3 linked regions of the Sus scrofa genome follow. The protein of the gene in region 1 interacts with the protein of each later gene in a pairwise test. Links are inferred from orthologs where the notes say so. Each region holds a gene or a part of one and is shown on either strand. Other genes may lie near its edges.

The links. The genes of interacting proteins can lie anywhere in the genome.
Region 2: the proteins of PNMA1 (region 1) and GPANK1 interact in binary tests that used the Homo sapiens proteins (3 or more experiments, as listed by UniProt). The two-hybrid records come from large-scale screens. The link is inferred for Sus scrofa from reciprocal best matches to the Homo sapiens genes PNMA1 and GPANK1.
Region 3: the proteins of PNMA1 (region 1) and SPG7 interact in binary tests that used the Homo sapiens proteins (3 or more experiments, as listed by UniProt). The two-hybrid records come from large-scale screens. The link is inferred for Sus scrofa from reciprocal best matches to the Homo sapiens genes PNMA1 and SPG7.

The regions. Positions count from the first base shown.
Region 1 is NC_010449.5:97,049,058-97,053,068, reverse strand, and holds PNMA1 (paraneoplastic antigen Ma1), read left to right. Parts: upstream 1-1,211; 5' UTR 1,212-2,051; coding exon 2,052-3,113; 3' UTR 3,114-3,919; downstream 3,920-4,011.
Region 2 is NC_010449.5:23,777,547-23,781,657, reverse strand, and holds the start of GPANK1 (G patch domain and ankyrin repeat-containing protein 1), read left to right. Parts: upstream 1-1,311; 5' UTR 1,312-1,837; exon of another isoform or gene 1,838-2,250; intron 2,251-2,327; exon of another isoform or gene 2,328-2,330; 5' UTR 2,331-2,419; coding exon 2,420-3,024; intron 3,025-3,917; coding exon 3,918-4,111.
Region 3 is NC_010448.4:436,407-440,408, reverse strand, and holds the start of SPG7 (paraplegin), read left to right. Parts: upstream 1-1,202; 5' UTR 1,203-1,217; coding exon 1,218-1,400; intron 1,401-3,863; coding exon 3,864-3,966; intron 3,967-4,002. UniProt on the Homo sapiens protein: Catalytic component of the m-AAA protease, a protease that plays a key role in proteostasis of inner mitochondrial membrane proteins, and which is essential for axonal and neuron development.

The DNA.
Region 1 (4,011 bases):
CTTCTCATGTGCCAGATGTTAAGATGAAGGAGGAATACAACACATACACAAGCCTCAGCTGTTTAAATATGTTTTTACCGGGGCTCAGTTTTCTCAGATGGTATTTATTACCAGTGGCAAGCCTAACTCCTTAGGTTTACAGGAAGTATGCATATTTTTATAAAACAATTGTATGTCCTCCCCATATTTTGCTGTATTAATATTTGCCTCTAACTAACAATTTGCAGCTGTTTCACCTTTTCCTCATTTGTCTCTTAGTCAAAGGCCTTGTTGGAGGGGACAGAGCACAGGAACAGCCTTGATAGTCTGTAATTATTGTACAAATATTTTAATAGCATATAAATAAGTATATTCCTTTTATTTTGAAAAAATCAGACACTGCCTTTTGTGTGTTTGCTGCCTGTGGCACCCTTTTTTAAAAGACTGTTACATATTAAAATAGTGTACATATATATAAATATTACCTCTTTTGCTGTACAGTTGTGATAGACCAGACGGAAGATTTTATTTTTTGTGTGCTTTTTATAAAAAAAAAAATTAACACACTAAAGAAAATCTTGCTGATGTGATTGTAATGTACCTATGTAACTTATTTACTTTTGAATGTTCTTCTGTATCTTTAAACCTTTTATTAAATAAGGTTTTAAAAATTCAGAGTTGATTTCTGTGTCCTTTGGGGGAAAGATTTATTATCTCACCATCTGGGATTGTAAGTGTGCCTTGGTTTGCTTCCAAAGGATACTTGACATTTTTGAACCATAAGGCCTGTTTTATCCATGATGCCAGGGCAGGGGAAATAACACATTAGTGTTTGCCGGGTTACTATTCATAGAGATCTAGATCTTTTTACAACATTTTAGACAAGAAGAAGTCTCAACTCACTGGGATAAAATTTAGAGGGTGCAGAGTGCAGTCAGGTGGTACAGGGTATTATACAGCATTGCCTCTGAACGAGCGACGCGAGTAGACAAGTCTTTCTTGACGGCCGGATATCATCTTAAATCCACTCCAGAATTATATTATCTTTTAAACACAGTGCTTTGTTAAGAAAAAAAAAAATCTGGAAAATGCGAAAAAGGAAATGCGCGGTAAAGGAAATTAACGCCCGCGGCCCCGAGCTGCCACCATGGCAACCATTCGCCCCTGCAGGCCGCTAGAGCTCCGGCGTCTCGCGTCGGTGGTTGCCGTGGCTACGGTCGCGCGGGCAGGGCCGCGGGGGGCGGGGCGAGGCGGGTCGAAGGCCGGCCCCGCCCTCCACTGCGGCAGTAAAGGCTAGGCTGGCTGCGGGTGGGACCGAGGTACAACTGTGCAGCTCCAGCCCACCTCGGCCCGCGGTCGCCTGCGTGCGGGGCTGCCGCGGCCTGCCTGCGACTGCGCCTGCGCCTCCTCTAGCCTGGCTTCCGCGTCTTTCCTGCGCCTCTGCTGCCTGTGTTCTTGGTCCTTGGCGTCCTCGCCGCCCAGAGGGATACGTTTGCCCACGAAGAAGCTCTCTCGGGTTGGCCTCGCTGCCGCCGCTGTCTTTCCCTTAGGACAGTCTTTCCCTCCGGGGGCGGTACTAGTTCTTGTCTGCGGAGAAGCGGCTCCTAGCTCGTCTGAGGCGTGCTCCGCTCTGGCAACGAAAGCTTGCACCCTCTGGGAGCAGCAGCGAGTGCCTGGCGCCCAGGCTGCGAAGAGGCGGCCACGTCCCGCGATCAAGCCCTGCGGCTCCTGCTTTCGCCGCCCGCCTTTTTTCCTCGCCTCTGCGCTCCGACGCGACACCTTCCTGTAAGTGGAGGACCCGGCCTGCGGATCCCGACCGGAGACACAAGATGGCGATGGCCATGTGACTGAGCATCCCCGAGGCTTCGTTCCGAGAACGCGGAGGCCTGGCTTTGAGGGGCAGCGAAAAGAGGAGAGCAGGACACTGGTGTCGTTTGTTAAACGTGATTGACTCCCTCGGGCATATGGGGGGAGGTGGCGGTGGGAGCGTCTGCTATTGTCTTCAGTTTTAGAGCACAGGGAGCCACAGTCTAATTGTATTTGTAGAATTGGGGCCCTTGATAGTTGGGAAAATGGCGATGACACTGCTGGAAGATTGGTGTAGGGGGATGGATGTGAACTCCCAGAGAGCCCTTCTGGTCTGGGGGATCCCTGTGAACTGTGATGAGACCGAAATCGAAGAGACCTTTCAAGCTGCGATGCCCCAGGTGCCCTATCGAGTGCTTGGGAGAATGTTCTGGAGGGAAGAGAATGCCAAAGCAGCCTTGTTAGAGCTCACTGGTGCTGTCGATTATGCTGCGATCCCCAGGGAGATGCCAGGTAAAGGAGGGGTCTGGAAAGTAGTCTTTAAGCCCCCCACTTCCGATGCTGAATTTTTAGAAAGGTTGCACCTCTTCCTAGCAAGAGAGGGGTGGACCGTGCAAGATGTTGCCCGTGTCCTTGGGTTTCAGAACCCCACTCCGGCCCCAGGCCCCGAAATGCCGGCAGAGATGCTAAACTATATTTTGGATAATGTTATTCAGCCTCTGGTTGAGTCCATATGGTACAAGAAGCTGACGTTGTTCTCGGGAAGGGACATTCCGGGGCCAGGGGAGGAGGCATTTGATCCCTGGCTGGAGCACACTAATGAGGTCATAGAGGAGTGGCAGGTGCCTGATGTAGAAAAGAGGCGGCGGTTGATGGAGAGCCTTAGAGGCCCTGCCGCTGATGTCATCCGCATCCTCAAGACCAACAACCCTGCGATTACCACCGCTGAATGCCTGAAGGCGCTGGAGCAGGTGTTTGGGAGCGTCGAGAGCTCTAGGGATGCGCAGGTGAGATTTCTGAACACATACCAGAACCCGGGAGAAAAATTATCTGCTTATGTGATTCGTCTGGAGCCTCTGCTGCAGAAGGTGGTTGAGAAGGGGGCCATAGATAAAGATAACGTGAACCAGGCCCGCCTGGAGCAGGTCATTGCCGGGGCCAATCACAGCGGAGCCATCCGAAGGCAGTTGTGGCTGACCGGGGCTGCTGAAGGGCCGGCCCCCAACCTCTTCCAGTTGCTGGTGCAGATCCGCGAGGAGGAGGCCAAGGAAGAGGAGGAGGAGGCTGAGGCCGCCCTCCTGCAGTTAGGCCTGGAGGGGCACTTCTGAGTCCCAGGAAAGGGGGCGTTAGTTCAGACCTAGATCACGGCTGCTTTCATTGTCTCTGTGATGTCTTACAGGTGTGTCTCCTGCTAGTAAAGACTAAGCGGTGTTTTTTGTTTTTGGGCGGGAGTCCGGCCTGGGTATTCATGTGTCATTAGCACAATCGTGCAGGGGAGCACCAGATCTGCTGCAGCGCTCGTGGGTCATGCTAGCTACAATGCCAGGGAAAGGCTTGGACGTGAGTCCTCATTGCAAGCTATCATCATGGCACCATCATCGGTTGTGAAAAATGTGGTCTCGTGACTCTTCCCATCAAGGTAATTAAATATGAAATTGCATGTTCAGATGTATAATGAGTGCAGGGCCTGGATACCAAAAGAACTGTTCAGTAAAAAATGTCAACTGTTTACTCTTAACTGTGGTGAATAGTTTTTGTGTCTACCGTAAATTGTTCCTGGTTTATATTAATGGAAAGAAATGTGAATAAGGTATTATTCAGCTTTACAGTGCAGATTTCTTACTGTACATCTTTAAAGATCTAGATCAGTTTAATTGAAAAGTGTTCTGAGACTACAAAATGGGGTGTTAGAACGATACTGCGCTTACAGGGCTGTGTAAATCAAGTTTTCACTGTGTAAGATGCAGATATAAAATGCATGGGGAGGTTAATAGGAACCAGTTACAGCATCTATTCCCCCATTTCAAATCTTTGTCATTGAAGAGTAGTTTACCATGTTCATGCTGATTCTAAATGTTTTAAATTCGAAGTTATCAAATACATGTATATTAATAAAAATATTTTTTAAATTCTCTTATTTTTCTGCAACATATAAAAATTTTCAGTGTAATTAAGCTCTGTATCTTCATTTTTTCAGGAAGATTTCCCCCATCACTAAAAAAATCC
Region 2 (4,111 bases), about 73 Mb from region 1:
CTATTCACACCTCAACCCCTTTTTTCAGAGACAGGAAATTCTCTGGGGTCCCAACACTTGTGTGTAACCGGCAGGTCTTGACCCATTAGTCCTATCCACATCCCTAACGCTCCCCAAGGCCAGGCCCCTCTCTCCTCTATGTCAACTCCAGCAGGGCCTGCGGCTCAGATTCCCTACCCCCGCAAGTCTCCGTTTGTCCCCGGCCCCATTCCCAAGGTTTCCGAAGTTTCTTTCCAGGCAAGAGCTAAGCTCCTCTTTTTCTCAAAGTCTGGGGATGGCAGTTAGGTCCCTTTCACGGGAGTCTCCTTATCCCGCCTCCATCCTTCAGACCACCCCCTCCTTCCTTCGGTCCCGGACCTGGTCACTTCCTTCCCCACCCCCACATCAAGGCACGGAGACCCCTTGTGCCGCGCCCAGGAACAGGGGACGCGGCGCGGCAACGACCTCAGACTCACCGGCTGGACGGGGACTGGGACCGGGGGGGCGGGGAGGGGAGGGGAGTTTCTGCTTCCAAGGAACCGCGGCGACGGCTACAACGCAGGCCGCGGATCCAACCGCGGCAGGCGAAGTGGGGCGGGGGGAGTGGAAACTGGGGAGGGTGGGGAAGAGGGCAACGCGCAAGCGCTTAAAATCGTGCGCCGCGGTGAACGCCGGGAGATGGAGTCCTCGGAAGCTAGAAACTGGCGCAACTGAGAAAGGGCGAACTACGAATCCCAGGACGACCCGCCCACGACCCTGGTGTCGCGAGGCCCCTGAGGGAAACGCTCCGGGGCGGGGCGTAGGGAGCCGCCACCGGAAGCGGAAACGCAGTACCGTGTTCTGGGCCAGGGAGCCTGGGAAATATAGTCGAGTGATCTTATCACCGTGGGGCTGAGAGGGGGCGGGGAAAGGAACAAGACAGGCTGGATCATTTACTGCCGCTCCCTCTCACACAACGAGCCTCAGGCGTGCGGCCCTGCTACCCAGACCATTGACCTCATCACCGACCAGCTGCCTGGCCCTTATCGCTTGTGGAGCCCCCCTGTCCGAGTCAGCCTGCCAAGGAGACCCTCAACGGGGCCCATATTTCACTCAAGGGTTTGATCTCCTGAGGTGGGAGGTGAGGCCGGGTTCCGCGCTGAGGGACCTGGGTAGGGTGTGCTGGCTGAGCTGAGAGGTGTGAGAATCGGGAAGGTCCCGTGCGCTAACCTGAGGTGGCGCCAGCCATTCTGTTGCTCGTCCCCTTGCACTTCTCCATTTCCTTTTAAGGCTTGAACAGGGCCTTCTGCTGCGGGTGCTAAGTGCGACCTTCCAACCCTGGTCAGATTAATGGTGAGGGGCTGCGTGACTATTTCATTTCACGGCTTCTGGGCATTCTCCGCCTCAGGGCCTTTCTTAACCCAGAGGGTGGTTTCCCAGGTCCAGAAAATGAGCTTGGAGCGGGGGCCACGTTGAGGGAGGCGAAGAGCATTGTGGGGGCGTTAGGTAAAAGCAGGACCCCAACCGACAGATATTTCTCGATCCTCGCGCTACCAGGGCACGTGGCGTTTTGCGCTTGTGTTATTGGAAAGATTCCAGGGCGGGAAATAGCCCGGAGCAGCGCGCCTGCGTGCTCCAGTATTGTTTTTGTTTGTCCCCCGCCCGCTCCCCATTCAGCTGCGCATGCGGCTTTGACTGTGGACGCCTTTGCTTAGAGTAGCGCCATTTTGCAGTACGGAAGCTGCAAAGCAACGAGTGGAACCTCCCCGCGAATCGGCTTCCTGCTTCCGGACAAATGTCAAGTCTGTTTTTGTTTAAGAATACCCCGAAATAGGATCCAGGAAGATTTAAAGAGCCAGGCTGATTGTTTTCCTTAATGGTATGTCCCGCGCAGTTGTAAAGTAGTTTCAGAGAAAGGCTGTTATTATTGATGGTGAGGATGGAGTGGGGGCAGAGCACAGGACTTCTGGGCAACTGTCTTACAGAGTCTACTTTGTTAACCTTTACTAAGGGGCATGGTCTGTTACCATAGGGTTTCCTATTTTTACACAATCCGTGGTCCTCGGGGTTCACTTTCCGCGTAGGAGGGTTTTTGTTTGTTTTTGTCTTTAGGGCTGCACCGGTGGCATATGGAGGCTCCCAGGCTAGAAATGGAATTGGAGCTACAGCTGCTGGCCTACACCACAGCCACAGCAACGCAGGATCCAGCCGTGTCTGCAACCTACACCACAGCTCACAGCAACGCCGGATCCTTAACCCACTGATCTGAGGCCAGGGATCGAATCTAATCAGGTTTGTTAACCACTGAGCCACGAAGGGAACTCCCGGGAGGGGATTTTTGATTCTAAGGATACTTGTTTTTATCCCAGCAGGTGTCTGTAGGTGATTCTGGTCATTGCAGGACCATCTGGGACTTGGCTTCCCCCTGCCTAATCTCATTTTCCCAACTCTCCCCAAAGCCATGTCCGGGTCCTCCCTCATTAACTTTACCCCAGCCACTGACCCCAGTGATCTCTGGAAAGATGGGCAACTGCAGTCACACCCTGAAGAGCTGGAGCCCACCCTGGATGGGGCTGCAGCCCGGGCTTTCTATGAAGCTTTGATTGGGGACGAGGACAGCACCCCTGAGCCCCAGAGATCTCAGCCTGAGCCTGCTAGAAAGAGGAAGAAAAGACGAACGATGAGGGAGACTACAGCAGGAGCATCAGGAGAAGATGGACAAAGGAGATCCCTTGAGGCAGAGGACAAGATGACCCAGCAGATACTGAGGGCAGCCCAGGAGGGGGACCTGGCAAAACTGAAAAAGCTGTTGGATCCCCATGAGGCAGGGGGAGCTGGAGGGAATATCAACGCTCGAGATGCTTTCTGGTGGACCCCACTGATGTGTGCTGCCCGAGCAGGCCAGGGGGCAGCTGTGCGCTATCTCCTGGGCCGTGGGGCGGCCTGGGTGGGGGTCTGCGAGCTGGGTGGCAGGGATGCTGCTCAGCTGGCGGAAGAAGCAGGCTTCCCTGAAGTGGCCCGCATGGTCAGAGAGAGCCCCGGAGAGACAAGGAGTCCAGAGAACCGGTAAGGGGAAGCCTTATCTTTCATTGTGTTCTGCCCTTCCTCACACTTCACACAGGAGGCCACAGAATAGAGCCAAAGGGTTTACTTTCCTGTTCCCTAATGTAGGCTGATCGGGCAGTGTGATTATGAACAGGATACTCCCTTGGATTATTTTTTATATAAAACATTTTTTTCATTAAAAAAAAAATTGGGGTAGTTCCCATTGCGGCTCAGTGGTAACAAACCCAACTAGTATCCATGAGGACGAGGGTTCAGTCCCTGACCTCAGTGGGTTAAGATCTTGGCATTGTCGTGTGGTGTAGATCTCACATGAGGCTCGGATCTCACATGGCTGTGGTTGTAGCATAGGCCAGCAGCTACAGCTCTGATTTGGCCCCTAGTCTGGGGACTTCCACATGCCGCAGGTGTGGCCCTAAAAAAGACAAAAAAAATTTTAAGTTTTTTAATTGAAGTATAGTTCACGTATATTTGCTATATTCCCACATTGCATGGGCTCCTTGGGTTTAAATCCTGACTGTACTTACGTGGGCAAGCAACCTAACCCATGTGCCTCAGTTTCCTCATCTAAGAAATGGAGCAATAAAAGCACCTTTCTCTTAGGGTTGTTAGGGTCAAATAGGTTAATATATGTAAAGTGCTAGAAAAGCACCTGTCCCATACTAAGCACTATACCAACACTAGCTATGGTCACTATTGTTATTTTTCATCACCCAAGAACTTTGTGAAGCCTTTTTAACATCTGTTGGCTCAACTATTCCCTTTTGGGTCTCTTATCATGAAGTGGGGAGGAAGGCAATTTGTTCCTCAGCAGAAATACAGGAAGGACCTAACCCTGCCACCCTCCTGAGGCCTCAATCCTTGTGTTGCCCTTAACCATTCTTTTTTCTTTGCAGGCCCCGATCCCTCTCCCCCCAGTACTGTGAGACCTGTGATGCCCACTTCCAAGACTCTAACCACCGTACATCCACCGCTCACCTGCTCTCACTGTCCCGGGATCTCCAGCCCCCCAACCTGCCCCTTGGGGTGCCTACCTCCAGCCCAGGCTTTAAGCTTCTCCTAAGGGGGGGTTGGGAGCCTGGAAAGGGAC
Region 3 (4,002 bases), on another chromosome or scaffold:
ACGTGTGTCATACCTGTCACTCCTGTCACACCTGAATCCATAGGTCGGAGAGCACAGGCCCTGCAAACAGTCAAACGAGCTCTGAAATTCTGCTCATGACTCCTTAGCTGTAACCTCGGGAGCTTACTTTAAATTGCTCTAAATCTGTTTCCCTCTCTGTAAAACAGACATAAAAGGAGTCTGCACACCTGTGAAGAGTAAATGAATGTTTGACATGGCGCCAGGCACTAGGTAGCAGTTAGGAGAACTGGCTCTCCTTGAGCGACCAGGAATCTGGGGAATACAGAAAAACAGAGAAACAAGCTGAAGTGACCCTGTAACACAACCAGCAGTCTCAGAGCTAAGCATTCAAGCACCAGACCTCAGGTGGGCCGCGAAAGAGGGACCATAGGGTACGGAATCCCAAGGGCAGGATGCCTCAGACCCCTGCCCTTTCCCCAGGGACGAGAGTGGCCTACTTCTCTTGGGCTGTGATCCTGGACACAAGAGATGGGCACGACTTCCAGAGTGAGTCCGCCTGCCTCCAGGAGAAGGTTGTAACCTCTCCGAAATTAAGCATCTTGAAGGACAAGAATGCCAGCCGTCTGCTACCCTCTTCTGAAGACCCTGCTCTTACCCGAGGCCCCTTCCTCGTCCTCTAGCGCGCAGGACCTTCCAGGCACCGCCCAGGGGCCAGAGGCTGCACCAGCAAAGCCCTCCCCTGGGCAGCACCCTCCCCGCGCCAAGACCTGACTGGGTCTGCGGATCGGAGTCGGGGTCAGAGTCCTGGTCCCGGGGGGGGAGTCGGAGTTAGGGTCGGGGATCCAGGCGGGAGTTGGGGTCGAAGTCCTGGTCTGAGTCGGGGATCCGAGCAGGAGTCGCGGTCAGGGTCGCATCTGCGCACGCTCCACGCCCTTCGGGCTCTCTCGCGCCCTCCGCGGCCTTAGGAGCCGCTGCGCCAAGTCCTCCTGGGAAAAGCGGCCCGGCGCAGAGTCCTGAAGCCCTCCCTCCCGCGTCCGCCCGGCTGCAGGTCTACTCGCAGCGCTCTGCACAGTGTGGCGCCTCAAACCACCTGCGAACCTCTGCGGGATCAGAGACGCAGCCGGCCTGACTGCGCAGGCAGCCCGGACCGCGCAGGCGCCCCGAGGAGGCCGGGACCGCGCAGGCGCCCCGGGAGGCCGGGACCGCGCAGGCGCCCCGGGAGGCCCGGACCGCGTAGGTACCGCTTCCGGGTCAACATGGCGGCGCCGTGGCTGCTGCTACGCGCTCTCCGCCCGGGGCCAGGGCCCGGGCGGGGGCGACTGCGGGGCTGCTGCTCAGGCAGGAGCCCGGGCTGCTCCGCCGGGGTCGGGTGGAGGTGGCTGTACGTGGTCCACAGGCCTCCAGTGGGTTGTGTCGGGCCTGGAAGCCGAGTCCTGCAGGTGAGGTGCGGCCCCTGGCGTGGTGCTGCGGGCGGTGCCGCTCCAGCTGGCTGCCCCCGGGGGAGGGGCGTGGGCGAGGCCGCACGGCCCCGCCTTGGCGTTTTTCTAGCCCTGGTTTTGTGTGTTGCTATCTTCTGCTGCTTTTCATAGCGCTTTGGAATTGAGTCGAGTAAGACTTCCATCACTTTTTAGCAGAGCACAGTTTTGCACTTGGCTCGCATAGATCAGATGTCACCAGGTTGAATTCCAGCGCCTTCCAGATGCTCTTAAGTGGGCTTTCTGAAAGTTTTGTTTGTGAGAAAAACACCTGTAACTGTTTTACTTTTGTGCTGTAGCTTGACTTGTGAACACAAACTCATTGACTGTGTAAAGATTGTTCCAGGTCCTGTGAGGTCAACATTTCACCCTGAAACAAAGACCTTAAGTCCTGGTGCTTTTTAGCCCTCTTTTAGGTTATGTTGTTCCATTTTACCATAGTTTTAGGACCAATTTCATATTTTAATTCTATTCTAGATACCTGGCCACCCTGCCAAGGCAACTATAGATATATTGCACTTTTTGTTTTTGTTTTTTTATTTTTTTGCCTTTTCTAGGACCGCTCCTGCAGCATATGGAGGTTCCCAGGCTAGGGGTTGAATCGGAGCTATAGCCACTGGTCTACGCCACAGCCACAGCAACGCGGGATCCAAGCCACGTCTGCAACCTACACCACAGCTCATGGCAACGCCGAATCGTTAACCCACTGAGCGAGGCCAGGGATCGAACCCACCACCTCATGGTTCCTAGTCGGATTCGTTAACCACTGAGCCACAATGGGAACTCCGGTTTTTTAATTCTGTTGAGGAAAATCATATCATCTGTTGTCAGACTCTGATCATTCTATGAAGATAAAGGCCGAAGTAGGCAGTTCTCATGTACTTGTGACATAGAGCAGATTACCTCACTAAGGGCTGTAAGAGTAATCAAAGTATGTGAGGTTTAAGCAAATGGTATTTAGGGCTGACTGTGTTCTTTGTCTTGGGGAGTTTTTTTTTTTTTTGGCTCTACCCACAGCATTTGCAAATTGTCAGGCCTTGAATGGGACCGGCGCTGCTGCAGTAACTGGAACCACTGCACTTATAACACTGGATTCTTAACCTGCTGAGTCACTAGGGAATTCTAGGGCTGATTTTGAAGAGTGACCCCCCCCCTTTGTTACTATTTACCACACTAATGTTATTCATTTACTTGGCCGAGTTTCCCTTATATGCCTTCTTGTCATCACTGAACCAAGAAGAGACTTTTTTTTTTTTTTTTTTGCTTTTTAGGGCCACACTCATGGTATATGGAGGTTCCCAGGCAAAGGGTCAAACTGGAGCTGCTGCCGGCCTACACCATAGCCACAGCGACGAAGAATCCGAGCCATGTCTGCGACCTGTACACCACAGCTCACGGCAACACCAGATCCTTAACCCGCTGAGTGAGCCAAGGGATGAACCTGTATCCTCATGGATCTTAGGTTTGTTAACCACTGAGCCACGAAGGGAACGCCCAAGAGGAAAACTTTTAATTAAAATCAACAATAATAGTGAAAAGTAGGAATTTTCAACCTGTTGCTAGAAGGAAATCACACGTAACATCTTCTTTCTTAAGGAGCAGCCCTTGCCAAAGAGCGCTCAGAAAGGTGTTACTTTTCTCTGTAATAGCAGCAAACTGGGGGTGAGCTAAGGAAAACAATTTAAAAAGAATAAAAATAGATGCAGAAATTGCTAACACATGGAGTTCCTGTCCTGGCTTAGTAACCAGCCCGACTAGTATCCATGAGGACTTGGGTTCGATCCCTGGCCTTGCTCAGTGCGTTAAGGATCAAGCGTTGCCGTGAGCTGCAGCGTATGTGGCAGACACGGCTCAGATCCCTTGTTGCTGTGGCTGTGGTGTAGACCGGCAGCTGCAGCTCCAGTTTGATCCCTAGCCTGGGAACCTCCACATGCTGCAGGTGCGGCCCTAAAAAAGAAAAAAGAAAGAAAGGGGGAGGAGGAAGGGAGGAAGGAGAAAAAAAGAAAAGAAATTGGCAATGCAGAGATAGAAAAAACTAAACTGACCATCACGGCAAAAGCATTCAGGTGGGAAAGCGGCACCTGGGTCCTGGAAATGTGCTCCAAGGAGTGTTTGTCTGGAGCGGAGAGTCCAGGCCTTCGCTGCTGTTTCCTGCGGAAGAGCTGGGCGCCGTGTTCAGCACCTTGCTTTAAGCATTTCTTTGACATACTCACTCTTGACATTTTTATTTATTTTTTGGTGATGTTGTGTTAAAACTTTGAAGCAACGCTCAGAGTATTACTTCGTATTTCAGGCCGTGGTGTAAATGTTACAAATATATAACTCCCCGCTTTTAGGAAAGACTTGGCACCCCGGAGTTCGTCCGAGTGGCCTGGGCGCGCTGCGGTACTGCTGGATTGATTCTCAGCATCGTTCTTTTTTCTTCAGAGTTTCCAGTTGCGACTCCTAACCCCCACCTTTGGCGGGATCAGCATGTTGTTGGTGAAACAGCATCTAGTCCAGAATCCAGTAGGACTCTGGAAACTTTTAGGTGTGTACATTTTTTTTTTTTTTTTCCCCTTTTCTG